Anolis sagrei: one gene and its partners. The protein of the gene in region 2 purifies or fractionates together with the protein of the main gene of each other region. This does not show direct contact. Links are inferred from orthologs where the notes say so. Each region holds a gene or a part of one and is shown on either strand. Other genes may lie near its edges. The genes, in order: ATXN7L3, KAT2B, GLI1 and TAF10.

Evidence for each region.
Region 1: the proteins of KAT2B (region 2) and ATXN7L3 purify together in Homo sapiens (affinity purification with mass spectrometry; 5 studies listed by BioGRID and IntAct, counting the BioPlex papers as one, with this or other methods). This does not show direct contact. The link is inferred for Anolis sagrei from reciprocal best matches to the Homo sapiens genes KAT2B and ATXN7L3.
Region 3: the proteins of KAT2B (region 2) and GLI1 purify together in Homo sapiens (affinity purification with western blotting; 3 studies listed by BioGRID). This does not show direct contact. The link is inferred for Anolis sagrei from reciprocal best matches to the Homo sapiens genes KAT2B and GLI1.
Region 4: the proteins of KAT2B (region 2) and TAF10 purify together in Homo sapiens (affinity purification with mass spectrometry; 6 studies listed by BioGRID and IntAct, with this or other methods). This does not show direct contact. The link is inferred for Anolis sagrei from reciprocal best matches to the Homo sapiens genes KAT2B and TAF10.

The regions. Positions count from the first base shown.
Region 1 is NC_090026.1:44,623,984-44,631,256, reverse strand, and holds the start of ATXN7L3 (ataxin-7-like protein 3), read right to left. Parts: upstream 3,003-7,273; 5' UTR 2,723-3,002; intron 1-2,722. UniProt on the Homo sapiens protein: Component of the transcription regulatory histone acetylation (HAT) complex SAGA, a multiprotein complex that activates transcription by remodeling chromatin and mediating histone acetylation and deubiquitination.
Region 2 is NC_090026.1:87,238,612-87,246,460, reverse strand, and holds the start of KAT2B (histone acetyltransferase KAT2B), read left to right. Parts: upstream 1-4,846; 5' UTR 4,847-5,093; coding exon 5,094-5,417; intron 5,418-7,849. UniProt on the Homo sapiens protein: Functions as a histone acetyltransferase (HAT) to promote transcriptional activation. Has significant histone acetyltransferase activity with core histones (H3 and H4), and also with nucleosome core particles.
Region 3 is NC_090022.1:185,742,011-185,748,845, reverse strand, and holds the start of GLI1 (zinc finger protein GLI1), read right to left. Parts: upstream 3,004-6,835; 5' UTR 2,191-3,003; intron 1-2,190. UniProt on the Homo sapiens protein: Acts as a transcriptional activator. Binds to the DNA consensus sequence 5'-GACCACCCA-3'. Regulates the transcription of specific genes during normal development.
Region 4 is NC_090023.1:1,018,058-1,025,689, reverse strand, and holds the start of TAF10 (transcription initiation factor TFIID subunit 10), read right to left. Parts: upstream 3,018-7,632; 5' UTR 2,945-3,017; coding exon 2,357-2,944; intron 1-2,356. UniProt on the Homo sapiens protein: The TFIID basal transcription factor complex plays a major role in the initiation of RNA polymerase II (Pol II)-dependent transcription.

The DNA of each region.
Region 1 (7,273 bases), about 43 Mb from region 2:
AACAACAATCCTATCTCATCAGCCAAAAGCAGGCCCACACTTTCCACTGAAATAATAACAAGTTTATATTTGTTAGAATTGTTCCTCATTTTAACTATTGTATTGTTTTTAAGTGTTTTTTGCACTACAAATAAGATATGTGCAGTGTGCATAGGAATTCATTCATGTTTTTTCAAATTATAATCCAGCCCTCCAACAGTTTGAGAGACTGTGACCTGGCCCTCTGTTTAAAAGGTTTGATGACACCCCCCCCCCCCGATCTACAGTGTGAAATTAATGCCATTTGACCCTACTTTTAACTGCCATGGCACAATGCAGCAGAACCCTGGAATTTGTAATTTGGTGAGGCAGCAGGACTATTTGGCCTCACCTGAACTGCCATGGACTCAATGCTATGGAAGAATGGGAGCTACATAGTTTGGTGAGGCATCAACCCTCTTTTGGAAAGAGAAGGCGAGAAAGTAACACTACAACTCCCATTAATCTACTGCATAGAACCATGGTAGTTCAAGTGGGGCCAAACTTCATCAATTCTATACACCGACCAATGTTGTTTTTGTTGTTGGTATTATTCTGTTCGTTTATACCCTGCTTTTTCTCTCCACAAGGAGACTCAAAGAGGCGTACATTAAAAACATTTCAATATGGCTTAAAATCTACAAATATTAACACATTAAACAGAATTAATAGAGGGCCCTTCCACACAGCCACATAACCCAGAATATCAAGGCAGATAATCCACAATATCTGCTTTGAACTGGATTATCTGAGTCCACACTGTCATATATTCCAGTTCTGTTTTATTCTGAGTTTTATCTTTTTGTTACATGTTTATATGCTTTATTCAGTTGTATTTTATACAACTGAATAAAGCATAGGTTTTTTAATTCTTGTGTTTATTGTCTACGTGTGAGTTATACTAATTGTAGTGTTTATTTTGTTTATTACTTGTTTTATTGATGTGTTGTTGGGCTTGGCCTCATGTAAGCCGCTCCGAGTCCCTTGGGGAGATGGTGGCGGGGTATAAATAAAGTATTATTATTATTATTATTATTATATCATCATCATGTCTTGATTTAAGCACCTTGTACCTTGTGTAAGCTGCCCCAGTCCCTTCAGGGAGATGGCTATGGGATATAAGAATAAAGTTGTTGTTGTTGTTGTTGTTGTTGTTATTATTCAATGTGCATTTTATACAGCTGTGTGGAAGGGGCCTGAGTTCCCTCCCAAAGTGTGGATGCACCCCTTGAGCATGGAGATGGGAGCTGTAGTTTGGAGGAGCACAGACACTCTTGGGCAGAGAAAGCCCAAGACCTGGTACAAGCCACAACTCCCATCATCGTATTGTAGTTTGAACTGCGACCGAGCTGCATTAATTACAATGCAGGTGCACCCCTTGAACATGAAGACGGGAGCTGCAGTTTGGTGAGGTACTTCTGGCAGAAAGAAGCTAGAGGCCTGGTAAATAAAACTACAGATCCCAGGATCCCAAAGCATGGATGTTTAAAGATGGGAGATGTAGTTTAGTGAGCTGCTCTTGGGCAGAAAGACGCTAGAGGCCTGGTAAAGAAAACTAAAGATCCCATGATCTCATAGCATGGCAGTTTAAAGATGAGAGCTGTAGCTTGGTGAGACACTCTTGAGCAGATAGAGGTTAGAGGCCTGGTAAACAAAGCTACAGATCCCATGATCCCATAGCATGGGGCCATGACAATTTAAAGATGGGAGCTGTAGTTTGGTGAGGCACTCTTGGACAGAAAGAAGTTAGAGCCTGGTAAACAAAGCTACAGATCCCATAGCATGGAACCATGACAATTTAAAGATGGGAGCCGTAGTTTGGTGAGGCACTCTTGGGCAGAAAGATGCTAGAGGCCTGGTAAATAAAACTACATATCCCATGATTCCATATCATGGAGCCATGACAACTTAAAGATGGGAGCTGTAGTTTGGTGAGGCACTCTTGGGCAGAAAGAAGCTAGAAGCCTGGTAAATAAAACTACAGATCTCATAGTATGGCAATTTAAAGATGGGAGCTGTAGCTTGGTGAGACACTCTCGAGCAGAAAGAAGTTAGAGGCCTGGTAAACAAAGCTACAGATCCCATGATCCCATAGCATGGAGCCATGACAATTTAAAGATGGGAGCTGTAGTTTGGTGAGGCACTCTTGGGAAGAAAGAATCTAGAGGCCTGATAAACAAAACTAAAGATCCCATGATCTCATAGCATGGCAATTTAAAGATGGGAGCTGTAGTTTAGTGAGGCACTCTTGTGCAGAAAGAAGATAGAAGCCTGGTAAATAAAACTACAGATCTCATAGCATGGCAATTTAAAGATGGGAGCTGTAGTTTAGTGAGGCACTCTCGGGAAGAGAGAAGCTAGAGGCCTGGTAAATAAAACTACAGATCCCATAGCAAGACAGTTTAAAGATGGGAGCTGTAGTTTGGTGAGGCACTCTTGTGCAGAAAGAAGTCAGAGGCCTGGTAAAGAAAACCACAGATCCCATGATCCCACAGCAGGGTTAACTGAGGTCTCTCCCAGCATGGGCCAGCCTTGAAGGTGTGGCAGCTAAAGTGGGACCAAACTGGATTAATTCTCCAGTGTAGAAGGAGCAGGGTGAAGCGAGGTCCCTCCTCCTCCTCCATCCCCTTTTGTTTCCCTTCAGTGCAGAGCCCTGATTCCCGCTCCCTCCCTCTCCACTCCTCCTCCTCCCCTGGGGACTTACCCCCCACTCTCTCCTGAGGCGGGCGAAGGGCCCCCATGCCTGGCCCCCAGGCGGCGTGCTGGGCCCCCGGCGACGCAGCCATGCCCCCTCCCCGCCGGGCCCGGGCAAGAAGGGAGCCAGTCCGGCCTAGCGCCTCCTCCTCCGCCTCCGCCTCCGCCGCCGCCTTCCCTCCAGCTCCAGCATCGGCGGCAGCAATAGGGAAAGGGAAAGGGGAGGGGGCCACCTTTTGCAATCGGAGCGCAACCTAGCTCGCTAGGCTCCGGCAAGGAGGCGGGGCCTGGCGGGGAAGGCCGCGGAGGAGGAGGAAGCGCACGCCTAAGAGCAGCGCGAGGGGGAGGAAGCCAGCCAATCGCAGCCATCCTTTTCCCCCTCCTGTCATTCAAGGTTGTATGCGAGGAAGAGCTGCTGCTGCTGCTGTAGAGGCTGGGCGCATCTTATTCCATCAGTGTTGCCCAAGCTCTTTCTTTTTTGCCTTCATCTCCCAGAATCCCTCATCATTGTCCCAAGCAGCTGAGGCTTCTGGGAATTGGAGTCCAAAACACCTGGAGGACCAGGGTTTTGATTTACACCAGAACTGAATCCAACTTTTAACTACTCTTCTACAACAACAACAAAACTTTATTTATATACCGCTCTATCTCCCCGAGGGGACTTAGAGCGGTTTCCAAATAGCATAATCAATACATACAATACTTATATTTGAGTATATAAAGGTAAAGGTAGTCCCCTGACATTAAGTCCAGTCATGTCTGACTCTGGAGTGTGGTGCTCATCTCCATTTCTAAGCCAAAGAGCCAGCGTTGTCCGTAGACACCTCCATGGTCATGTGGCCGGCATGACTGCATGGAGCGCCATTACCTTCCCGCCGGAGAGGTACCTATTGATCTACTCACATTTGCATGTTTTCGAACTGCTAGGTTGGCAGAAGCTAGGGCTGACAGCGGAAGCTCACGCCGCTCCCCGGAATCGAACCTGCGACCTTTCAATCAACAAGCTCAGCAGCTCAGTGCTTTAACCCACTGCGCCACCGTTACCTTCCCGCCGGAGCGGTACCTATTGATCTACTCACATTTGCATGTTTTCGAACTGCTAGGTTGGCAGAGAATATACGGTTTATTTATTTATCGTGTCAGGGGCAGACCAAACAGTTGCATTACATTTTTAACAAACAAACAAACAAAACAAAACAAAACAAAGTTTGCAGGCTTGGCAGTTGATTAAATGTCCTTTGACCAGTATCTGGCCACTTGGAGTGCCTCTGGTGTTGCTGCAAGAAGGTCCTCAGCAAGCGAGAGTCCAAAAGTGGCAGGCTCAAACCCAGCAACTCAACCAATGGCTGATACCAAATGAGAGACTCCCCCCTGGGCACACAGAAAACTGGGCGACTTGGAAGGCACTGAACAGACTGCGTTCTGGCACCACGAGATGCAGAGCCAACCTCAAGAAATGGGGCTACAAAGTGGAATCCACAACATGCGAGTGTGGAGAAGAGCAGACTACAGACCATCTGCTGCAATGCAACCTGAGCCCTGCCACATGCACAATGGAGGACCTTCTTGCAGCAACACCAGAGGCACTCCAAGTGGCCAGATACTGATCAAAGGACATTTAATCAACTGCCAAGCCTGCAAACTTTGTTTTGTTTTGTTTGTTTGTTAAAAATGCAGTGCAACTGTTTGGTCTGTCCCTGACACGATAAATAAACAAACCGTATATACTCAAATAAGTATTTATGTATTTATAGTACTTATATTTGAGTATATACGTTTGAGCCTGCCACTTTTGGACTCTTGCTTGCTGAGGTGTTCCAGCGAGTGTCTCTGTGGATCTTAGAAAACTATTTCTTGATTTAAGTCATTGACGAGCTGGCTGATACCCAAACAGGGGATGAGCTGGAGATGTCACAGCCTTGGTCCTTTCACTATTAGTTGCTACTTCCCAGTGAATGTCAGGTGGTGCAATACCGGCTTTGCCTGGGGACATGAGAGAAGCCTCCTCGCAGGATTGCAAGAAATCCAAGCATCCCCTGGGCAACGTCTTCGTAGATGGCTGATTCTCTCATTCCAGAAGTGACCAGAAGCGACATGCAGCATGCAAACAAGCAAGCAAAACAACCAACAGACCTTTTCAGTATATACGGTGTATACTCAGGCATGTAACCGGGGGGGGGGGGGGGGGCTTGAGGGACTTCAGCCCCCCCCCCCCCAAATTCTCATGATGGTCCACGAGAAGGCCTTACTGGTGCATTATTTAAACTGTTATGTTTATTCATATCATGATGTGATCACCATACTCAATATTGTATTGGAGTAACAATACAAAAGATTTGCTAGGGTAGACCCTCTTTCACTCAGACTCAGCCCCCCCCCCCCCCCCCATCAAAATCCTGGCTACAGGCCTGTGTATACTTAAGATTAAGGTGTATTTGGTTACAAATTGGCCACCCCCTCTTTTTCTCTCTGTACTTGTATATTTATAATTTTACTCAGCCTAGATGTTAGCCAGAAGAGATAAGGAACTATTTTTAAATAAGCAATGCATGGAAGTGGAAGAAGACAACAGAATAGGAAGAACACGAGACCTCTTCCAGAAAATTAGAAACCTTGGAGGTAAATTTCAGGCAAAAATTGGTATGATAAGAAACAAAGATGGCAGGGACCTAACAGAAGCTGAAGAGATCAAGAGAAGGTGGCGAGACTATACGGAAGATCTGTATAGGAAGGATAATAATATTGAGGATAGTTTTGACGGTGTGGTGAATGAATTAGAACCAGACATCCTGAGGAGTGAGGTTGAATGGGCCTTAAAAAGCATTGCCAACAACAAGGCAGCAGGAGATGACGGGATCCCAGCTGAACTGTTTAAAATCTTAAAAGATGATGCTGTCAAGGTGATGCATGCCATTTGCCAGCAAACATGGAAAACACAAGAATGGCCATCAGACTGGAAAAAATCAACTTATATCCCCATACCAAAAAAGGGAAATGCGAAAGACTGCTCAAACTTCCGTACAGTGGCCCTTATTTCTCATGCCAGTAAGGTAATGCTCAAGATCCTGCAAGGAAGACTCCAGCAATACATGGAGCGAGAGTTGCCAGATGTTCAAGCTGGGTTTAGAAAAGGCAGAGGAACGAGAGACCAGATAGCCAATATCCGCTGGATAATGGAGAAAGGCAGGGAGTTTCAGAAAAACATCTACTTCTGCTTCATTGACTATTCTAAAGCCTTTGACTGTGTGGATCATAATAAATTGTGGCAAGTTCTTAGCGGGATGGGCATCCCAAACCACCTTGTCTCTCTCCTGAGGAATCTGTACAAGGACCAAGTAGCAACAGTCAGAACTGACCACGGAACAACAGACTGGTTCAAGATTGGGAAAGGCATACGGCAAGGCTGCATACTCTCACCCAACCTTTTTAACTTGTATGCAGAACACATCATGCGATGTGCGGGGCTGGATGAATGCAAAGCTGGGGTGAAAATTGCTGGAAGAAACATTAACAACCTCAGATATGCAGATGACACCACTTTGATGGCCGAAAGCGAGGAGGAGCTGAGGAGCCTTCTAATCAAGGTGAAAGAAGAAAGCGCAAAAGCCGGGTTGCAGCTAAACGTCAAAAAAACCAAGATTATGGCAACAAGAATGATTGACAACTGGAAAATAGAGGGAGAAAATGTGGAGGCCGTGACAGACTTTGTATTTCTAGGTGCAAAGATTACTGCAGATGCAGACTGTAGCCAGGAAATCAGAAGACGCTTACTTCTTGGGAGGAGAGCAATGTCCAATCTCGATAAAATAGTAAAGAGTAGAGACATCAGACTGGCAACAAAGATCCGCCTAGTCAAAGCCATGGTATTCCCTGTAGTAACCTACGGATGTGAGAGCTGGACCTTAGGGAAGGCTGAGCGAAGGAAGATCGATGCTTTTGAGCTGTGGTGTTGGAGGAAAGTTCTGAGAGTGCCTTGGACTGCGAGAAGATCCAACCAGTCCATCCTCCAGGAAATAAAGCCCGACTGCTCACTGGAGGGAAAGATACTAGAGACAAAGTTGAAGTACTTTGGCCACATCATGAGGAGACAGGAAAGCCTAGAGAAGACAATTATGCTGGGGAAAGTGGAAGGCAAAAGGAAGAGGGGCCGACCAAGGGCAAGATGGATGGATGGCATCCTTGAAGTGACTGGACTGACCTTGAGGGAGCTGGGGGTGGTAACGGCTGACAGGGAGCTCTGGCGTGGGCTGGTCCATGAGGTCACGAAGAGTCGGAGACGACTGAACGAATGAACAACAACAGATGTATACTGTACATTGTGCTTATATTGTGTGTTATGATAAGGCCAATTGGCTGATCAATAAAAATGGTTTTGCTTCAATTTAAAAAAAATACATACAAGGAAAACAGCATAAACAAACAATTCACAAGACAATATAAGCATAAAAACCACAATAGCACATAAATATTTAAAATAATCCTGCCTGTTCAAGGCAGTTTAAAAGGCCAGGCCGGGGCTAGTGTCCGGGAAATTAGGTAGAGTCTATGGCTGTTCATTTCT
Region 2 (7,849 bases):
TCAACGAATTGGATCCAGGTTAGGTGTATTTAAAAGAGGCCCAGTGAAATCACTATGCCTTGCTAGTCTTCTGCTGTTTGCTGAAGTCCCATTGATATCTCTTTGCATGTGTAAGTCTGGGAGTGCATCCAGACTATGAAACTGATAGAGTTTGACACCCTTTTAACCGCTATGACTCAATGTCATTGAATACTGGGATTTCTTTGGCAGGGATGGCTAAAGACCTTGCAAAATTACAATGCCCATGATTCCACAGTACTGAGTTATAGTAGTTAAAACTGAATTAATTCTACAGTGTGAATGCACCCTGGATTTGACCCATGGTTCTGCTTCAGAACTGGATGTAGTTCTAGGTTTCTTCAAGACTTCTTTCGGTGCCAAACATATTGCTATAAGGGGCACATCTATGCTGACTCTGTGGTAACTTCACACTCAGACCTCACAACCTCTGAGGATGCCTGCCATAGATACAAGCGAAATGTCAGGAGAGAATGCTTCCGAAACATGGCCATACAGCTCAGAAAACTCACAACAACCCAGTGATTCTGGCCATGAAAGCCTTTGACAATACATTTAACTTCACAATGATTCTATGGCAGCTGCATAGTAACTTTGGTGGAAGAGATTCCTTATGGGGCCAGGCTTTGTACTGCAGGTTAAACTGCTAAGCTGCAGAAAATCCTAGGTTGGTAATTCGAGCCCTGGTTGGAGTGAGCTCCCACCCTCAGCCCCAGCTTCTGCTCAACTAGCAGATCAAAAACAGCAATATGAGTAGATAAATAGGTGCCACTTTAAAAGTGGGGAGGTAATAAAAGTCACCCGTAAGGACATGCTGACAATTTGATTGGGAGGACGTCTATGGATGACAAGGCTCCTTGGCATGAAAAATTGAGTGACAGCACACACACACATACACCCGGCTGGAGTCGAGCACAGCCAGATGTCGGAAATGGAAAAAGATGGGAAAGCCTTTACATCTGTTTATATAGTCCGTTCTTGTTAATTGTACAACAGCATTGAATGTTTGCCATATATGTGTTCTGTAATCCACCCTGAGTCCCCTTGGGGAAATAGAGCAGAATATAAATAAAGTATACTATTATTATTTCAATCAGGTTCAATATTATCCACGATTTTCATTTTCCACAGTATAGTACATTTTGGAAACTATCCTCCGCAGATAAGGGAATCATATGGTATAGTGCAAACACAAAAAAGTAATCAAAGTACATAACCATTATCCATCTCCTCATCTCATTTGTAATCGGAACTATTCAAGCGAACTGGCAACAGAGGAAAATTCCTTACCCAGACTGGACCTACACTGCTCTACATCCCAGGGTCTGATCTCAGATTATTTTCTTATCCCTGATTTTCTGGCACTGTAGACTCATACAATCTAGTTCAAATCAGATAATCTGGGATCAGGTCCTGGGATATAGAGAGCAGGACCAGTCTGCTCTCATATCTTTACTTATTCTCAAACTGGCAAGCCAATGCAAAAGAGAGAGAGAGAGAGAGAGCAATACAAATTAACCCTCTACCCTGGACATCTGTTAATATGTTGCCATGGTGCTGACAAGGACCTTAAAACGCATCTGGCTTGGAAGAGAGACCTTATACACTATAGTCAATATCCATGTTACATCATACAATGGTATCCAGTGTGGTTTTATTTCACCTCAAAAATGCCAGAGCCTAAGGATCTGTGAAATGGTCCAAGGCTACTGCAAGGTACGACTAAACATAAGGTGTAGAGCCAATTGGTGTACAGCCAATTAAAGTTTGGTTTTTTGACTTCTTTCTCCAAAATATTTTCAAGCCATTGGTTGAATCTGTGGGTAGCGAACCCATGGATGTGGAGGGTCGAGTGTACTTGCACATTTCCCCTTTATGGCATTAGCTTATAGAGCCACATAAGAATAATTAAATGTCCATTCCACCTTCTGTTTCTTACTGATTAAACTTGCTTGGATTAATTTATGACAGATGTAACAGCAACAATTTACAGAGATTTCAAAATACAGCTGCTACCTTATGAACCATTATTTGCCTTTTTGAACATATTACCTTGGTAGAGCTTAAGGGACTTCGCTGGCAGCTTAGTCTGTTTTCAAGCACAGTTCAAAGTCCTGGTGTTTTCTTTTAAAACTTATTCAGTTTTGAGCCTCGGTACCTGAAGAAAGATTTTGCTCATGTACCAATCATGTGTTGAGGCTGTCTTTGAAGGGCTTCCTGGCATTTGAGATAAGAAAGGTGGAAACCAGAGAGGGGGCTTTTTCACTTTGTGATTTCCTTTCCTCCTATCCATTCATGGAATTTCTTCCCTGGAGATGTGTGCATGGTGGCAGTACTTTTCGTGCCAGGCAAAGTTATTCCTGTTTTTAAATGCTGGGATTTATCACAATTAATCTCGATTTAGTTATCTCCTTAGAAGCATTGCTGAAGAACAGTGTATAGATTTTTAAACAAGCAAATAAGTAGCACAACCGCAGGAACTAGAGAGTGCTTTTATGACTTATGTTCATTGTGAACTAATTCCTACTCAAGAGTGTTATATTTACAATCGGCCCTCTGTATCCACACATTCTTTATCCAGGGAGTCAACCTTCCATGACTTGTAAAAAAAAAAGGGGGGGGGAGTGGGGAGCAAACAGTGGAAATGAAAAGCACAGATTTTTGGTGGACAAATACAGGTGTGTGAAATAAAATGTAACCCTGGAACCAAACTCCAGCACATACATATTTGAAAACAAGAATTATAATAGTAATAATAATAATAATAATAATAATAATAATAATACTTTATTTATATTCTGCTCTATCTCCCCGGAGGGACTCACAGTGGATTACAATATACAGATAGGAAAACATACAATTGAATAATCCCCACCCCCACCCCCGAGGGATACTGAAATGGAAGTTTGTGCCATTCGAATAAACTACCTAGAAATATTAAAGGATTTCTTTCACTCACTTTTCTGGGGAATTTATTGATTGGCCACCACAGTTTGAAACTTGCTTTGAACTGAATTCAATGGTCAGTGTAGATGGGGCCTGTATCATCACTATCCAGGTCTCCAATTGGTTTCAGGATATCCTATGTAATTATTTGTACACTGAAACCACTTTTTTCAATGCTGATTTGAAATTGCATTAAATGGTCAGTACAGATGGGGCCACAAACCACGGAACAGTGATGCACATTAAGGGCTTTCTTTCACACGCTTTTGTGGAAGTTTGTTGTATGTCCATTGCAGTGTGAAGCTAGCTTCGGACTACATTAAACCATCAGTGTAATGGTGCTTAATCAGGTATCGGCAAACTTCAGCCCTCCAGGTGTTTAGGATTTTTCCCCCTCAGAACAATAATTTTCCCTCAAGTTCCTTCATGAGGTCTACTGAAGTGAACATGTTGCCCTCAGAACAATCCCTCAGAAAAGTAGCCCTTTGAGGGCTATTGAAGTGGCAATTTTTGCCCTCAGAATGCATGTAAAGTTGTTTTTTGAGAAGCTCCTGCTGCTCCCTCTGCCACTGTAATCTTTCTCCCTCGAGCCTCTTAGTGAGGGCCACTAAATGGGACATTTTGTCCTCAGAACAGTAATTTTCCCTCAAGGTTCCTTTCTGAGAGCTACTGAAGAAGGTGTTTTTCCCTAAAACTCCCAGAAATAAAGCACTATTTTCTGAGAAGCTCATCTTGCCCTCTGCACCTTTGCAGATGTTTAGCCCTCAGAACAATCCCTCAGAAAAAAAGCCCTTTAAGGGATATGGAAGTGTAGGTTTTGCCCTCAGAAAAGTAGCATGTTGAGGGATGCGGAAGTAGAGGTTTCACCCCAGAAGAGTAGCCCTTTGCGGGATACGAAAATGGAGATTTCACCCTCAGAAAAGATGCTCTTTGGGGGATACAGAAGTGGAGGCTTTGCTCTCAGAAAAGTAGCCCTTTGAGGATACCGAAGTGGAAATTTCACCTCAGAAAACTAATCTTTTAAGGGATATATATATATATATATATTGTCAGGAGCGACCTGAGAAACTACAAGTCGCTTCTGGTATGAGAATTGGCCGTCTGCAAGGACGTTGTCCAGGGGACACCCGGATGATTTGATGTTTTTATCATCCTTGTGGGAGATTTCTCTCATGTCCCCGCATGAGGAGCTGGAGCTGATCCGCCTCTCCCCGGATTCGAACCTGCGACCTGTGGGTCTTCAGTCCTGCCTGCACAGGGGTTTAACCCACTGCACCACCGGGGCCTCTTTTGAGGGATATGGAAGTGGAGGTTTCCCCCTCAGAAAAGTACCCCTTTGAGGGATACAGAAGTTGAGGTTTCGCCCTCAGAAAAGTAGTCCTTCGAAGGGTATGGAAGTGAAGGTTTTACCCTCAGAAAAGTAACCCTTTGGGGGATACAGAATTGCAGGTTTTGCCCTCGGAAAAGTAGCCTTTTGGAAGATATGGAAGTGGAAGCTTCGCCCTCAGAAAAGTAGCCCTTTTAGGGATACGGAAGTGGAGGTTTCACCCTCAGAAAAGTAGTCCTTTGAGGGATATGGAAGTGAAGGCTTCACCCTCAGAAAAGTAACCTCTTGAGCAGGCATGGGCAAACTTCGGTCCTCCGGGTGTTTTGGACTCCAACTCCCACCATTCCTAACAGCCTCAGGCCCTTTCCTTTCCCCCCTCTGCCGCTTAAGCGGGGGAAAAGGAAAGGGCCTGAGGCTGTTAGGAATGGTGGGAGTTGGAGTCCAAAACACCGGAGGGATGTGGAAGCCACTGCGACCCTCCCTCAATCCCTCAGTGACACTCTGAGGGCGCGTCATTGAGGCACCCGGCGAGGGACGCCTCAGTGTGGTGAGTGCCGCCCGCAAGGCGCTCACAACAACAACATGTCGGCCTGCTGGCTGTGCGCGCTGCTGCCTCCTTAGCGGGCGCCTCCTCCTCCTCCTCCTCCTTTCCTGACAGGACCCGCCCGCGGTGTGCGGCCTGTCCCCTCCCTCCCTCCCGAGGGAGCAGCAGGCGGAGGCGCGGCTCCAGCGGGCGCCCGAGCCCGGCCCTCAGCGAGCCTGGCGGCGGCGGCGGCAGCGACTCCCACACCGCAACCCCGCCATGGCTGAGGCTGGCGCGGCCGGGCCGGGGGAGGGCGAGGCGGGGAACAGCAATGGCGGGGCCGGGGCGCTCCAGCAAGGCTCGCCGGCTTCAGCGGGGACGCCCGCTCGAGCTCCGGCCGCCGCGACTCCTCCTGCGCCCGCCGAAACCAGCCCTGCAGCGGGAACAGCAGCGGGAGGAGGAGGGAGCAGCAGCGGGAGCAGCACGGGCGGGACAGGCAGCGGGGGACCCGGCTCGGCTCGCATCGCGGGCAAGAAGGCGCAGCTCCGCTCCGCACCCCGCGCCAAGAAGCTGGAGAAGTTGGGCGTCTATTCCGCCTGCAAGGTAAGCACCGGCCCCGGAATCATCATAAGCCCCAAGACCCGGAGCGGGAGAGGCGAGCGGCGCGCTTCCCCGTGGCAGCCGACAGGGGGCGCCCGCTTGGGTGTCGGCGGAGGATTGAGTGACAGGAGGAGAGGGCAAGGGAGGGGTCGCGCCTGACTCCTTGGATTAAAAGGAGAGGATCAAAACACAGAGAATGACACGCACAATAGAGTGTGGGGTTTTTTCCCACTTGGTGTCTGGCTGGCAACAAGTTTCTCTCTAGAAGCGCAAAGTTGTTGTTGTTACTAATGTTGTTGTATTTACATCCTGTTTCCCTCTCCTAACGAAGCTCAAACAGTATGCGACCTCAGGCCCCATCTGCACTGACCATAGAATACAGCTCAATCTGAATTAGTAGTGAACATGGGACCACAGACTTGGTGCATGGAGTTAGTTTCACTTAATTCGGATTAGGTAAAGTAAGTCCAGTCATGTCTGACTCTGGGGTGTGGTGTTCATCTCCATTTCTAAGCCGAAGAGCCGGCGTTGTCCATAGACACATCCAAGGTCATCTGGCCAGCATGACTGAATGAAGCGCCGTTACCTTCCTGCCGGAGCGGTACCTATTGATCTACTCACATTTGCATGTTTTCGAACTGCTAGGTTGGCAGAAGCTAGGGCTGACAGCAGAAGCTCATGCTGCTCCCTGAAATGGAACCTGTGACCAGGCCGGTAGCCAGGATTTCGATTCGGGGGGAGGGGGGCTGAGTTTGTTTCGGGTGGGGGGGGCTGAGTCTGAGTGAAAGAGGGTCTAGCCTAGCAAACCTTTTGTATCGTTACCCCAATACCCCCATGCATATGGGATATATTGACTATGGTGATCAGATCATGATATGAATAAACAGTTTAAATAATGCACCAGTAAGGCCTTTTCGCAAACCACCATGAGAGTTTTTTTGGGGGGGGGGGGGGCTAAAGCCCCTCAAGCCCCCCCCCCCCCCCCCCCCGCTACATGCCTGCCTGACAGTAAGTCCAGTCATGTCTGGCGCTCGGATGTGGTGCTCATCTCCATTTCTAAGCCGCTGGAGCGGTACCTATTGATCTACTCACATTTGCATGTTTTTGAACTGCTAGGTTGGCAGAAGCTAGGGCTGGCAACGGAAGCTCACGCCGCTCCAGGTGCTTTGGACTTCAACTCCCAGAATTCCTGGCCTCAGCAGCTGAGGCGGAAAAGGAATGGGCCCAAGGCCAGGAATTCTGGGAATTGAAGTTCAAAACACTCAAAGGGCTGAAGTTTGCCCATGCCTGATATAATAGGTATTAAAATAGTTATATCACTGCAATGTTGTAGGTTTTTCGGGGTGTATGGCCATGTTCTAGAAGCATTATCTCCTGACCTTTCGCCTGCATCTGTGGCAAGCACCCTCTGAGGTTGTGAGGTCTCAAACAGCATTAATTGTACAGTGCACATGCATCCTTCCCAATGGTTACCACATATTGGGGGTAACTAATCCGAATTAAGTGAAACTAACTCCATGCACCAAGTCTGTGGTCCCATCTACACAACCTCTGAGGATGCTTGCCACAGATGCAGGTGAAACATCAGGAGAGAATGCTTCTAGAACATGGCCATACAGTCTGGAAAAACCTACAACGATGCAGTGATTCCGGCCATGAAAGGCTTCAACAATACATAGTTATATCAGCTTGAATGTAAAGCTTGGCTTGGAAGCTTTTATCCCTCACAGACAGAAATATCTCTCATCATGTAAGCTAAGTAGAGTCAGCTTTGGTTAGGTCTAGGATGGGAGACCACCAAGGTGAACCTGACAAAACCACTTTGAAGAAAACCCTATGAAAGTTATAGGATCGCCATAAATTGACAGACAGCCTGAAAGTACACACATTTGATCTAGGCAGAATCAGGTGGTAGTTACGTATCAAGAAAAACACTGTATTGTCGAAGGCTTTTGTGACTGGAATCACTGGGTTGTTGTAGGTTTTTTCCGGCTATATGGCCATGGTCTAGAGGCATTCTCTCCTGACGTTTCGCCTGCATCTATGGCAAGCATCCTCAGAGGTAGTGAGAAAAACACTGCCCATGTTTAGTATTAGTCGTGTGTCCCTTGTTACCTATGACTTGCAGCTATCAACCTCTCCCATTCCTCTCCTCACAGAATAACATTGCTCAAACTCTCATTGCCAAATTCCTCTTCCTCCCATGCCTCTCAAACTCAAAGAGTTTCCCAATTTATCCCTTTTAATTCCAAATCTAAGACTTGAGTTCAGTTTCCCCATTTTGCACCCATTTGTGTGACCTATTGCCCCATACTGATTTATTTTATTTATATTTATGTTTATGTTTATTATTATCTCACTTTTATCTCTTGATCAAGACACAAAATTAAAAATACAATTTAAATCCATTGTGTAAAAATATTAAAGTAGGATTA
Region 3 (6,835 bases), on a different chromosome or scaffold from region 2:
TGATTTTGCAGAACAGGATTGATGGAGACTTCTTTTGGGTGGTTGAATCAAAATCTGACAGAAAGAAAAGATGTGAGAGGGGTGCGGAGAGCAATCTGGCAATGTCCGTTCTCTGTTGGGTCTGGCCAACAATCAAAATTCTGAAAGTGTAGAAACTTGCTTGGAATCAGAAAGTTTACCACCCTCAAAAGTTTGCTTTTGAGGCCGGGTTTCAAGACAGGAGCTCACCAACTTCTTCCTGGACAAGATGTGTTTTCAGCCCCATCTACACTATCATATATGACCCAAATTATCTCCTTTGACCTGGATTATATGGCAGTGTAGACTCAGGGCCCTTTTATACTGCCATATAATCCAGATTATCAAATCAGACGATGCACATTTTTGGCTTTGAACTGGATTATGGGAGTCTGCACTGCCACATAATTCAGTTCAAAGCAAATCATCTGGATTTTATACGGCAGTGTAGAAGGGACCTCATAGAATCCACTTCAACAGAGATGATGTGGATGATCTGCTTTGATAACCTGGGCCCCATCCACACATCTGAATAAAATACCACATTATCTGTTTTGAACTGGGATATATGGAAGTGTGGATTCTGGGCCTTCCAAACAACCCTATACCCCAGAATATCAAGACAGAAAATCCCACATTATCTGAGTGTGGACTCAGATAACCCAGTTCAAAGCAGATATTGTGAGATTTCCTGCCTTGATATTATGGGATATAGGGCTGTGTGGAAGGGCCCTTCGATAACCCAGTTCAAAGCAGATATTGTGGGATTTTCTGCCTTGATATTATGAGATATAGGAATTTGTAGAAGGGCCCTGAGTCCACACTCAGACAATGTGGGATTTCCTGCCTTGATATTCTGGGATATAGTGCAGTGTGGAAGGGCCCTTCGATAACCCACTTCAAAGCAGATATTGTGGGATTTCCCACCTTGATATTATGGGATATAGGGCTGTGTGGAAGGGCCCTCAGATATTCCAATTCAAAACAGATATTGTGAGATTTTCTGCCTTGATATTATGGGATATAAGGCTGTGTCAAAGGGCCCTGAGTCTACACTCAGATATTGTGGAATTTCCTGCCTTGATATTCTGGGATATAGTGTTGTGTGGAAGAGCCCTCAGATATTCCAATTCAAAGCAGATATTGTGGGATTTCCTGCCTTGATATTCTGGGATATAGGGCTATGTGGAAGGGTCCTCAGATAACCCAGTTCAAAGCAGATATTGTGGGATTTTCTGCTATAGGGCTGTTCAAAGCAGATATTGTGGGATTTTTTGCTACAGGGCTGTGTGGATAGGTCCTGAGTCTACACTCAGATATTGTGGAATTTCCTGCCTTGATATTCTGGGATATAGTGTTGTGTGGAAGGGCCCTCAGATATTCCAATTCAAGGCAGATATTGTCGGATTTCCTGCCTTGATATTCTGGGATATAGGGCTATGTGGAAGGGTTCTCAGATAACCCAGTTCAAAGCAGATATTGTGGGATTTTTTGCTACAGGGCTGTGTGGATAGGTTCTGCGTCTACACTCAGATATTGTGGAATTTCCTGCCTTGATATTCTGGATTATATGGCTGTGTGGAAGGGCCCCTGGACTATATGGTAGTATAGATCCAGCCTTCAAAAATCCTTTTGGGGCCCTTCCACACAGCCATATAACCCAGAATGTCAAGGCAGACAATCCCATAATATCTGCTTTGAACTGGGTTGTCTGAGTCCACACTGCCATATATTCCAGTTCAAAGCAGATACTGTTGGGTTCTATTCAGCTGTCTGGAAGGGGCCTCAGCCATATAACCCAGAATATCAAAGCAGAGAATCCACAGGGACAGGATTATGTGAGTCCACACTGCCATACAATTCAGTCCAATGTGGATTTTATACAGCTGTGTGGAAGAGGCCTTTGAAGAAAGTTGAGACAAATCCGACAAACTTTGTAGCAGTTCAGGAAAGAAAGAAAAAAAACCCCATAACATTCCCATTCCTTTCCCAATTCCCACCCACGCTGCTTGCTTTTTTGCTCATGTCAGAAAAAAACAAAAACTCAGGAGTGTTGGAAAGGCAAAACCTGCCAGTTGCCAAAAACAAAACAAATAAGGTCCATCTCCCCAAACCAATGGGAGATACACACAAATAGACACAGAACTGGGCTTTGAAGAAGAAAGAGCTTACCTTTCAAAGCCTGGATGGGGATTGTTGGGGAGTCATGATGATCCCAAGCACAGCTCTTGGGCTTCTCGAGATGGGCAGTTTCCCTCTCTCTTCGGATTGGTTTCCCCTAGGCTAGCAACATCCAGGGTGGGCTACTGAGTGTCGCCCGCAAACAACAACAACAAAACCCCATCAGGAAAGAAGAAGAGATGAGGGAGAAGGGGGGTGGCTTCTTTCACCAGATCCCCCAAATTTTCCACATTGTGGCTTTGCCTTCTTTTTGTAGAGGAAAGAAAAGGGAGGCAGAAAATCCCACCGACGCTGATTAATATATATATTGCTCCCCTTCTTCTTCTTTTTCTCCGAGATTCAAATCAAACCAACTTCATCCCAGGAGCAGGCGCGATGATCAATGTGCGAGCCTCCCGTCTGGAGCCCGAGAGAAGGACCACCTTGAAGCAGGAAGTTTTGGTTTGCTTTCCAAACTTTCCCGATGCTTTGCTTGAGCTTTGGCACATGGAGCCAATCAGCCCGCTCCGCCTGGGCGGCCGGCTGGGGAAAGGAGGGCTGGGCGCAGCAGCAGCAGAGAGATGGGCCAGGAGGGGATGGGATCCCCTCTTTCTCCCCCAAATCTCTCCCCCCAACACTCCCCTTTAGGGCTTTCAGGCTGCTCAGGAAGAAGAGGAGGAAGAGGGTGGTGCTTTCTTTCTTTTTTTCTTTTTTTTTCAGGGAAAGTTTTCAAGATTTCTTTCTTTTTTGTTGTTGTTGAGAAGGTGGGATCTTTAGCAGCAGGAGGAGGGTAAGCTGAGCCCTGTGTGAGGTTGGAGATGAAGGAGCCCCTCTCAGCCTCAGTTCTCACAGCATGCTGCCTCCCAAGCCTCTGAAGCAGCTTGGAAAATCCGGGCTGGAGTTTGGGGGCCCTTCCACACAGCCCTATAACCCAAGATATCAAGGCTGAAAATCCCACAATATCTGCTTTGAACTGGATTATCTGAGGCCCCTTCCACACAGTCATATAACCCAGGATATTAAGGCAGAAAATCTCACAATATCTGAGCATGGACTCTACCCAGGGCCCTTCCACACAGCCCTGTATCCCAGGATATCAAGGCAGAAAAGCCCACATTATCTGCTTTGAAGTGGGTTATCTGAGGGGCCTTCCACACAGCCATATAACGCAGGATATTAAGGCAGATAATCCCACAATATATGAGTGTGGATTCAGATAACCCAGGGCCCTTCCATACAGCCCTATATCCCAGAATATCAAGGCAGAAAATCCCACAATATCTGAGTGTGGACTCGGGGCACTTCGACACAGCCCTATATCCCATAATATCAGGGCATAAAATCTCACAATATCTGTTTTGAACTCGGTTATCGAAGGGCCCTTCTACACTGCCCTATATCCCAGAATATCAAGGCAGAAAATCCCACAGAATCTGAGTGTAGACTTAGGGTCCTTCTACACAGCCCTATATCCCAGGATATCAAGGCAAAAAATCCCACAATATCTGAGTATGGACTCAGATAACCCAGGGCCCTTCCACACAGCCCTATATCCCATAATACCAAGGCAGAAAAGCACACAATATTTGTTTGAACTGGGTTATCTGGAGGCCCTTCCACACAGCCCTATATCCCAAAATATTAAGGCAGAAAATCCCACATTCTCTGAGTGTGGATTCACATAACCCAGGGCCCTTCCACACAGCCCTATAACCCACAATATCACAGTAGAAAATCCCACATTGTCGGAGTCGGGATTCAGATAACCCAAGGCCTTCTGCACAGCCCTATATCCCAGAATATCAAGGCAGAAAATCACACATTATCAGAGTCTGGACTCAGATAACCCAGGGCCCTTCCACACAGCCCTATAATCCAGAATATCAAGTCAGAAAACCCACAATATCTGCTTTGAACTGGATTTTCTGTGGGCCCTTCACACAGCCATACAACTCAGGATATCAAGGCAGAAAAGCCCACAATATCTGAGTGTGGACTTAGATAACCCAGGGCCCTTCCACACAGCCCTATATCCCATAATATCAAGGCAGAAAAGCCCACAATATTTGCTTTGAACTGGGTTATCTGAGGGCCCTTCCACACAGCCCTATATCCCAAAATATTAAGGTAGAAAATCCCACATTCTCTGAGTGTGGATTCACATAACCCTGGGCCCTTCAACACAGCACTATATCCCAGAATATCGAGGCTGGAAATTTCGTATTATCTGAGTGTGGACTCAGGGCCCTTCCACAAATACCTATATCTCATAATATCAAGGCAGAAAATCCCACAATATGTGTTTTCAACTGGGTTATTGAGGGGCCCTTCCACACAGCCCTGTATCCCAAAATATCGAGGCAGAAAATCCCAACAATATCTTCTTTGAACTGGGTTATCTGAGTCCACACTCAAATAATGTGGGATTTTCTGCCTTGGTATTCTGGGATATAGGGCTGTATGGAAGGGCCCTGGGTTATGTGAATCTACACTCAGAGAATGTGGGATTTTCTGCCTTGATATTCTGGGATATTGGACTGTGTGGAAAGGCCCTCAGATAACCCAGTTCAAGGCAGATATTGTGGGATTTTCTGCCTTGATATTCTGGGATATAGGGCTGTGTGGAAGGGCCCTGAGTCCACTGCCATATATACCAGATACTAGGCCTGGGCGGTTTCGTTTCGTTAATTCGTAATTCGTTAATAATTCGTTAATTTTTTCAATTACAAAACGATAACGAACCATTCTGGAGCAATTTTTTAAAAAAACGAATTTTTAAACACGTTTTGCAAATGCTTCGTATTTCGTTATTGTATTCGTTTCGTTATTGTTCTGAGGTCGTTTTGTTATTATTTCCGCATGTCTGGGCCAGTTTTATGGTTTAATTAGTGAAAAAAAATTATAATATCACACCAACAGTCAACAACAGAGGGAGAGGGAAGCTTCAGAAGTTTTTGGAGGTTTTTTAGCGTATTTCGCGGTCGCGTCCGCCATTAACGAATCGATTCGTTATTGTTTCGGAAATCGATTCGTTAATGTTTTGTAATTTTTTTCACATTTACGAAATTTCGTAAATATCGAACTTTTTTAAAGGAAAATTTTGTAATTATTTTAAATAACGAAACGCAAAAACCCCCAAAAAACGAATCGATTTTAGAAACAAATTTTTCCGTTGTTACCCAGGCCTACCAGATACTGTTGGAGTCTATTCAGCTGTGTTGAAGGGGTCAGAGAGGCGTCCTTCACCATCATGGCACATAGTAATAGCTAGCTACGGTGGCCACTTCCATGTGGTTGCAGAGGGCAAGTTGTCAGCACAGTGTTTGGGCAATGCAGCATGCATTCAGGGCTTTCATAGAATCATAGAATCATTGAGTTGGAAGAGACCTCGTGGGCCATCCAGTCCAACCCCCTGCCAAGAAGCAGGAAAATCACATTCAAAGCAGCCCCGACAGATGGCTATCCAGCCTCTTCTTAACAGACTCCAAAGAAGGAGCCTCCACCACACTCTGGGGCAGAGAGTTCCACTGCTGAACAGCTCTCACTGTTAGAAAGTTCTTCCTCATGTTCAGGTGGCATCTCCTTTCCTGTAGTTTGAACACCTCACAGGAATAGGCTTTGGAGGTACTGTTCTGTAGGGGCTCCTGTCCTTCTGAGAGGGTCATTCCCAGAAGGTGTTGTTGGGGGACACCTGCTCGGGGTCCTGCAGGGCTCAATACTGTCTCCCAGGTTGTTTAACATCTATATGAAGCCCTTGGGAGAGATCATCCGGAGTTTTGGAGTTCGATGCCATCTGTATGCAGATGACATTCAACTCTATTACTCCTTTCCACCTGCTAATAAGTAGGTTCTGTTCAGGTTTTGAACCGGTGCTTGGCAGCTGTGTCAGCCTGGATGGGAGCAAACAAATTGAAATTGAATCCAGACAAGACAGAGGTATTCCTGGTCAGTCACAAAGCCAAGCATGGTATAGGGTACAGTCTGTGTTCGATGGGGTTACACTCCCCCTGAAGGTGCAGGTTTGCAGCTTGGGAGTCCTGGACTCATTGCTGAGCCTGGAATCTCAGGTTTCAGCAGTGGCCAGGGAAGCATTCACACAATTAAAACTTGTGCGCCAGTTGCGCCTGTATTTTGGCAAGTCAGACTTGGCCATGGTAGACCATGCTCTGTTTACAACCCATATAGATTAATTCAACATGCTCTACATAGGATTGCCCTTGAAGACTGTTTGGAAGCTTCAAATAGTCCAATGGGCGGCAGCCAGAGTGCTTACCAGAGCAGACTCCCCTGTTGCGTCAGCTCCACTAACTGTCGGTCTGCTACCAAGCACAATTCAAAGTGCTGGTTTTAGCCTATAAAGCCCTAAATGGTTCCGGCCCAGCTTACCTGTCCTAACAGATCTCCTCATATGAACCATCTCAGAGTTTAAGATCCGGGGAGGCCCTGGTCTCGGTCCCACTTCCTTCGCAGGTGCAACTGGTGGGGGCAAGAGACAGGGCCTTCTCAGTGATGGCCCCTCAGCTGTGGAATTCCCTCTGAAGGAATATTAGATCAACCCCCTCCCTCCTAACCTTCAGTGAGAGAGTAAAAACGTGGTTCTTTGATCAAGCCTTTGGAGAAACCGTGCAATAAACAGATATAGAATTATGTGCAAGGA
Region 4 (7,632 bases), on a different chromosome or scaffold from region 2:
GCATATTCCGTGGCTATACGGATGGCCAGGGAATCTTTCACGACCACCCGTATAGCGTCTGCAGCAAATAGATCATCAGAGCTGTTTCGGGTTGTCGGGGAGCTTCTTCACCCACCTGTGGTGGAGGGGATCATTGATGACCCAGCAGCTCGGTGTTGCGACTTCGCACACCATTTTGCAGGCAAAGTTGCTCAGATACGCCTTGAGCTTGACTCCAATTCCATCGCAGTGCCAGAGGAGGTGACGGAGGCATCTGCTTGTCCAATTTTGTGGGATTCTTTTAGGCTTGTTCTTCCTGAGACCATGGGGGAGGTCCTTGGGGCCGTGAGGGCGACCACTTCGACTCTAGACCCTTGCCCATCTTGGCTTATTAAATCTGCCAAGGAAGGGTTGGTTGATTGGTGTTGACTGTTAACGCATCGTTGGAGCAAGGGAATTTTCCATCTAACTTGAAACAGGCTGTGGTTCGCCCACTCCTCAAAAAGCCTTCCCTTGACTCCACGGTGCTGAACAATTATAGGTCAATCTCCAACCTCCCTTTTTTGGGTAAGGTGCTGGAGCAGGTGGTTGCCTCCCAGCTCCAGGGCTTCCTAGACAACATCAACTACCTAGATCAGTCACAGTCAGGTTTCAGGCCTGGTCATGGCACCGAGACAGCCTTGGTCGCCTTGGTTGATGACCTCTGTAGAGAGCTGGACAGGGGGAGTGTGACTCTGCTGGTTCTCTTGGACATCTCAGCGACTTTCGATACCATCGACCATGGTATCCTTCTGGGTCGCCTCTCTGGGATGGGCCTTGGGGGCACGGTTCTGTCGTGGCTCCGGTCCTTCCTGGAGGGACGAACCCAGATGGTGAAGCTGGGAGACACCTGCTCTGACCCCTGGCCTTTGACCTGTGGGGTCCCACAAGACTCCATTCTGTCTCCCATGCTTTTTAACATCTACATGAAACCGCTGGGAGAGGTCATCCGGAGTTTTGGAGTTGGGTGCCATCTCTATGCGGATGACGCACAACTCTACTACTCCTTTCCACCTAATTCCAAGGAGGCCTCTCGGGTGCTGGACGAGTGCCTGGCCGCTGTGTCTATCTGGATGAGGAGGAACAAGCTGAAGATCAATCCTGACAAGACAGAGGTCCTCCTGGTCGATCGCAAACCAGACCGGGATATAGGGTGGCTGCCTGTGTTGGACGGGGTTACACTCCCCCTGAAGCCACAGGTCCGTAGCTTGGGAGTCCTCCTGGATTCATCGCTCACGCTTGAGGCTCAGGCGTCGGCCGGGAGGGCTTTTGCACAATTGAGACTTGTGCACCAGCTGCGTCCGTACCTCGCGAAGGCTGATCTGGCCGGGGTGGTCCATGCCTTGGTTACCTCTAGACTGGATTACTGCAACGCGCTCTACGTGGGGCTGCCCTTGAAAACGGCTCGGAAATTCCAATTGGTCCAACGGGCAGCGGCCAGGATGTTAACTGGGGCCCACTACAGAGAGAGGTCAACCCTCCTGTTTAAGGAACTCCACTGGCTGCCGTTTATTTTCTGAGCCCAATTTAAGGTGCAGGTGCTTACCTACAAAGCCCTGAACGGTTTGGGACCACCCTACCTGCGTGACCGTATCGCTGTCTACGAACCCACACGCTCACATCAGGAGAGGCTCTGCTCGTGATCTCGCCCGTGTCGCAAGCGCGCTTGGTGGGGACACGAGACAGGACTCTGGAACGCCCTCCTGAAAGATCAGACAAGCCCCTACATTGGCTGTCTTCAGAAAGGAATTGAAGACCTGGCTGTTCCGATGTGCCTTTTCAAATTAGGAACCTCCAGCACCAAATCCTAGAAGCACCTTAGTAGAACCAAGATCACTGCACACTGCACATCGCACTTATATCTAATCCTACATCTGTCCTGCCACACCAGCACTTTTTAACCCAGTACCCCTACTCTGGCCGGCTCAGTTTTAATAGTGTTTTGTTGTATTGTTACTGTTATTGTTTTCCTGCTTAACTGTTTTTAATTTGCTTCGGGTATTGTATTGTTGTATTGTGTTTTGGGGCTTCGGCCTGTGTGAGCCGCATTGAATCCCTTGGGGAGATGTATACAAATAAAGTTATAATAATAATAATAATAATGAGGGGCCACCACCGAGAAGGCCCTGCTCCTCGTCCCCACCAACCTCACTTGTGATAGAGGTGGGGCCGAAAGCAGGGCCTCCCCAGAAGATCTTAGACTCCGGGGTGGGACGCTTAAGCGGCTGAGGGGGAAATGGAAGGGGGCTGAGGCCAGGAATGCTGGGAATTGGAGTCCCAAACCCCTGAAGGAAGGAAGGGAGGGAGGGGGAGAAGGGCCTGCAGTGCTGCCACTCACGGTAGGCGTGTAGTCCTCGAGCTGGAGCAGGAAGTCGACGAGGGGGGCGGCGGAGGCGTTGGCGGCAGCGGCGGAAGGGGAGGCGGCGGAAGCGGAAGCAGCGGCGTTCGAGGGGGGAGGCGGGGCGGAGGAGGCAGAGGCGGGGGAGGCGGCGGCGGAGAATGCGCATGCGCCGCCGGGCTTGGCCTCCGCGTTGGCCGGCAGCGCGAAGAGACCCCCGTTGGGCGCCGAGGAGGAGGACGACGAGGAGGAACTGGAGGAGGAGCTGGACGAGGAAGAGCTCGAGGAGGAGGAAGGAGGGCCTTCAGCCGGGACGGGAGCCGAGGGAAGGAGCAGGACGGCGGTGGGGAGGGAGGGGGCCGTGGCGGGGGGAAGAGGAGGAGGAGGCGCGGAGGAGGAAGCGGAAGTGGAGGCCGCAAGGCCTGTCCCCGCGCCGGGGCTGCTGCTGCTTCCGCTTCCGGCCTTGGAGGGGGCTTCTGCGGAGGGAGGGGCTGCCGAGGCGACGCCGGAGGGGGGAGGCGCGGCGCCGGAGGGAGCCCCGGGCCCGGCCTCGCCCTCCCCGCTTCCCGCTCCGCCTGTCGAGCTCATCGGGTCGGCCGGGAGAAGTGGCGCATGCGCACCATGCTCTCGCCCACTTCCGGAAATGGCCGCTGCTCTTGAAACCACGCCTAATCGAAGGCCGGGCGAAGTGGCGCATGCGCACCACACTCATAACACTTCCAGAATGGCCGCTGCTCCTGAAGCCACGCCCCCTCGAAGGCCGGGCGAAGTGGCGCATGCGCACCACGCTCTCGCCCACTTCCGGAAATGGCCGCTGCTCTTGAAGCCACGCCCCCTCGAAGGCCGGGCGAAGTGGCGCATGCGCACCACACTCACACCCACTTCCAGAATGGCCGCTGCTCCTGAAGCCACGCCCCCTCGAAGGCCGGGCGAAGTGGCGCATGCGCACCACACTCACGCCCACTTCCGGAAATGGTCCGCTGCTCCTGAAGTGCACTCACATCCGGGTCTAGCCCTGACCAGAGTACCCGGATGTTAGACTTGGTTGGTTTATATATCCCGCTTTATCCCTCTCTATATTATCCCAACATGACATGTGTTGTTGTTCATTCGTTCAGTCGTCTCCGATTCTTCGTGACCTCATGGACCAGCCCACGCCAGAGCTCCCTGTCGGCCGTCACCTCCCCCAGCTCCTTCAAGGTCAGTCCATGTAATATACATGTAATATACATGCAATATATAAATATTCCAGTTTTGTTTTGCAGTTTGACTTGAAAAAACCAGGTTGTACGTTTCATACAAATTAGGAATGAGTTTTTTTTAAAACATTATTTATTTATTATTTATGTATTTGCTTTGCTTCTCTACGGCTGTATCTCAAGCCCGAAGGCGACTCACAGCGGTTCACAAACAGTAAAAACAGTAGAAACAGCAGTGGTTCCATACAACATAGAACAATTGACTTAACACATTATCCATAAATTACCAATAAGCAATTACAATGCACAATTATGACAAAAAACAACCGTACCCAACCTTCTCATCATCCAAGCGTAGTCCAGGTTCGTCGTCCATTGTTCCATTCCGATGTTCCATTACCAGATTGCACTAAATTACTCAAACGCCTGCACAAACATCCAGGTCTTCACCTTTTTGCGGAATACCATTAGAGATGGTGCCAGTCTAATGTCCGCAGGAAGGGCGTTCCACAGCCGAGGAGCCACCACCGAGAAGGCCCTATCTCTCGTCCCCGCCAGCTGAGCTTGAGAAGCAGGCGGGATCGAGAGCAGGGTCTCCCCGGAAGATCTCAAAGTCCTGGTGGGTTCATAGGCAGAGATGCGGTCGGATAGGTAGCTTGGGCCGGAACCGTTTAGGGCTTTAAAGGCCAACGCCAGCACTTTGAATTCAGCCCGGTAGCAGATCGGTAGCCGGTGGAGTTGGCGCAACAGGGGGGTTGTATGCTCCCTGCGCTCCGCTCCTGTTAAAATCATGGCTGCCGAGCGTTGGACTAGTTGGAGCTTCCGAGCTGTCTTCAAAGGCAACCCCACGTAGAGAGCGTTGCAGTAGTCAAGGCGGGATGTAACCAGAGCGTGGACTAATTTTATTAGGAGATGCTTCCAGGTTGTACTTTTGATACAAATTAAAAAATGAGGTTTTTAATATTTTTAATTTTTAGTATTTTTAATTTTTAATATTTTATATATATATATATATATATATATATATATATAATTTTTATATTTTATATTTATATTTATTTTAATATATATATTTATAATTTTATATTATATATATATAATATAATAAATAATAATTTTAATATAATCTAATTATCATATTTATATGTATATATTAAATGTTTTATATTTATATATTAAATAAATATTTATTTATATTTATATATTAAATAAAATTAATAATTTTAATATTTAATAAATCATAAATTTAATATAATATTCCAATAACTATAATATTACATATTGCATTTTTATTATTATATTATTTTACGTAAAGGTTTTTAAGATCTTTATTAAGAGACACTTGCAGTTTGACTTGAAAAAATCAGGTTGTATGTTTCATACAAATTAAAAATGAGGTATTCAATACTTTTAAATTTTAGTATTTTTAATATTTAATATTTATATTTATATATTTATATGTATGGATTAAATATATTTTATATTTTAATGTTTATGTTTATATATTAAAGAAATATTTATATCTATTTATATTTATATATTCAATAACAATTAAAAATTTAATATTTAATAAAGAAAAATAATATAATATTCCAATCATTATAATGTTATATACTGCATTTTTATTATTATATTGTTTTAAAACATATTAAGAGATGCTTGCAGTTTGACTTGAAAAAATCAGGTTGTACGTTTCATACAAATTAAAAATGAGGTATTTAATATTTTTAATATTTAATATTTAAAATATATATTTATATATTAAATAAATATTTTATATTATGTTATATATATAATATTTAATACATAAGTTTAATATAATAATCCAATTATTATAATATTACATATTGCATTTTTATTATTAAAAACTGCTTGGCTGCAGAAGTTGCAAACCAGAAGATTGGCAGTCCAAACCCAGGGGGCGAGGTGAGCTCCCACTGTCAGCCCCAGCTTCTGCCAACCTAGCAGTTAGAAAACATGCAAAAGTGCATATATCAATAAGTACTGCACCAGCGGGAAGGTAATGGCACTCGTGTGTCTATGGATAATGCCGACTCTTCAGCTTACAAATGGAGGTGAGCACCAGAGTCCCAGAGTTGGACACAGATAGTCTTAAGGTCAAGGGGAAACCTTTACCTTAGTATTATATAGTATGCTGTATCATAAGTTGCAGTATATATAATGTATTACAACATCATTAATATTATATGTTGTTGTTCATTCGTTCAGTCGTCTCCGACTGTTCGTGACCTCATGGAGCAGCCCACGCCAGAGCTCCCTGTCGGCCGTCACCACCCCCAGCTCCTCCAAGGTCAGTCCAGTCCCTTCAAGGATGCCATCCATCCATCTTGCCCTTGGTCGGCCCCTCTTCCTTTTGCCTTCCACTTTCCCCAGCATCATTCCCTTCTCTAGGCTTTCCTGTCTCCTCATGATGTGGCCAAAGGATTTCAGCTTTCCCTCTCGTCTCCTTCCCTCCAGTGAGCTTTAGTCGGGCTTTATTTCCTGGAGGATGGACTGGTTGGATCTTCTTGCAGTCCAAGGCACTCTCAGCACTTTCCTCCAGCACCACAGCTCAAAAGCATCGATCTTCCTTCGCTCAGCCTTCCCTAAGGTCCATCTCTCACCTCCGTAGATGTGACTACAGGGAAGAGCATGGCTTGGACTAGGCAATGGATCTTGGTTGCCAGTCTGATGTCTCTACTCTTCACTATTTTATCGAGATTGGACCTTGCTCTCCTCCCAAGAAGGAAGCGTCTTCTGATTTCCTGGCCACAGTCTTCATCTGCAGCAATCTTTGCGCCTAGAAATACAAAGTCTGTCACGGCCTCCACGGTTTCTCCCTCTATTTCCCAGTTGTCAATCATTCTTGTTGCCATAATCTTGGTTTTTTTGACGTTTAGCTGCAACCCGGCTTTTGCGCTTTCTTCTTTCACCTTGATTAGAAGGCTCCTCGGCTCCTCCTCGCTTTCGGCCATCAGAGTGGTGTCATCTGCATATCTGAGGTTGTTAATGTTTCTTCCAGCAATTTTCACCCCAGCTTTGCATTCATCCAGCCCCGCACATCGCATGATGTGTTCTGCATACACGTTAAAAAGGTTGGGTGAGAGTATGCAGCCTTGCCGGACGCCTTTCCCAATCTTGAACCAGTCTGTTGTTCCGTGGTCAGTTCTGACTGTTGCTCCTTGGTCCTTGGACAGATTCCTCAGGAGAGAGACAAGGTGGCTTGGGATGCCCATCCCACCAAGAACTTGCCACAATTTATGATGATCCACACAGTCAAAGGCTTTAGAATAGTCAATGAAGCAGAAGTAGATGTTTTTCTGACACTCCCTGCCTTTCTCCATTCTCCAGCATCCAGATATTTGCAACCTGGTCTCTGGTTCCTCTGCCTTTTCTAAACCCAGCTTGAACATCTGGCAACTCTCGCTCCATGTATTGCTGGAGTCTTCCTTGCAGGATCTTGAGCATTCCCTTACTGGCATGAGGAGAAATAAGGGCCACTGTACGGAAGTTGGAGCAGTCTTTCGCATTTCCCTTTTTTGGTATGGGGATATACGTTGATTTTTTCCAGTCTGATGGCCATTCTTGTGTTTTCCATATTTGCTGGCATATGGCATGCATCACCTTGACAGCATCATATGATATATGTCTGTGTGTGTATGTGTGTGTATATATATATATATATATATTAGTGTTCTTACACTACAATGTTATTATTTCTATAATTTTTTGTTGTTTACTCATTCAATCGCTTCCGACTCTGCCTGACCTCCTGGACCAGACCAGCCCAGAGTTCCCTGCCAGACGTCTCTCTGGTTGCACTGATCCAGTTAGTTTTCCTGGCAAGAATACTGGGGTGGGTTGCCATGATCTTCCCCAGGGATCATATTTAGTCTGACCTCTTGTCTTGGGTGTCCCTTCACAGTTTCACTCGTGGCATCATCAAGTCGCTCAAGCTCCAGCACCGCAACAAGGCAACTATCCTTTGCCGGAAGATCTGTATATATTGTATACGTTGCAGCGGCCTTTAAGGAGGCACTTTTTTTGTTGTGTCAACTTGAGAAACTGCAAGTCGCT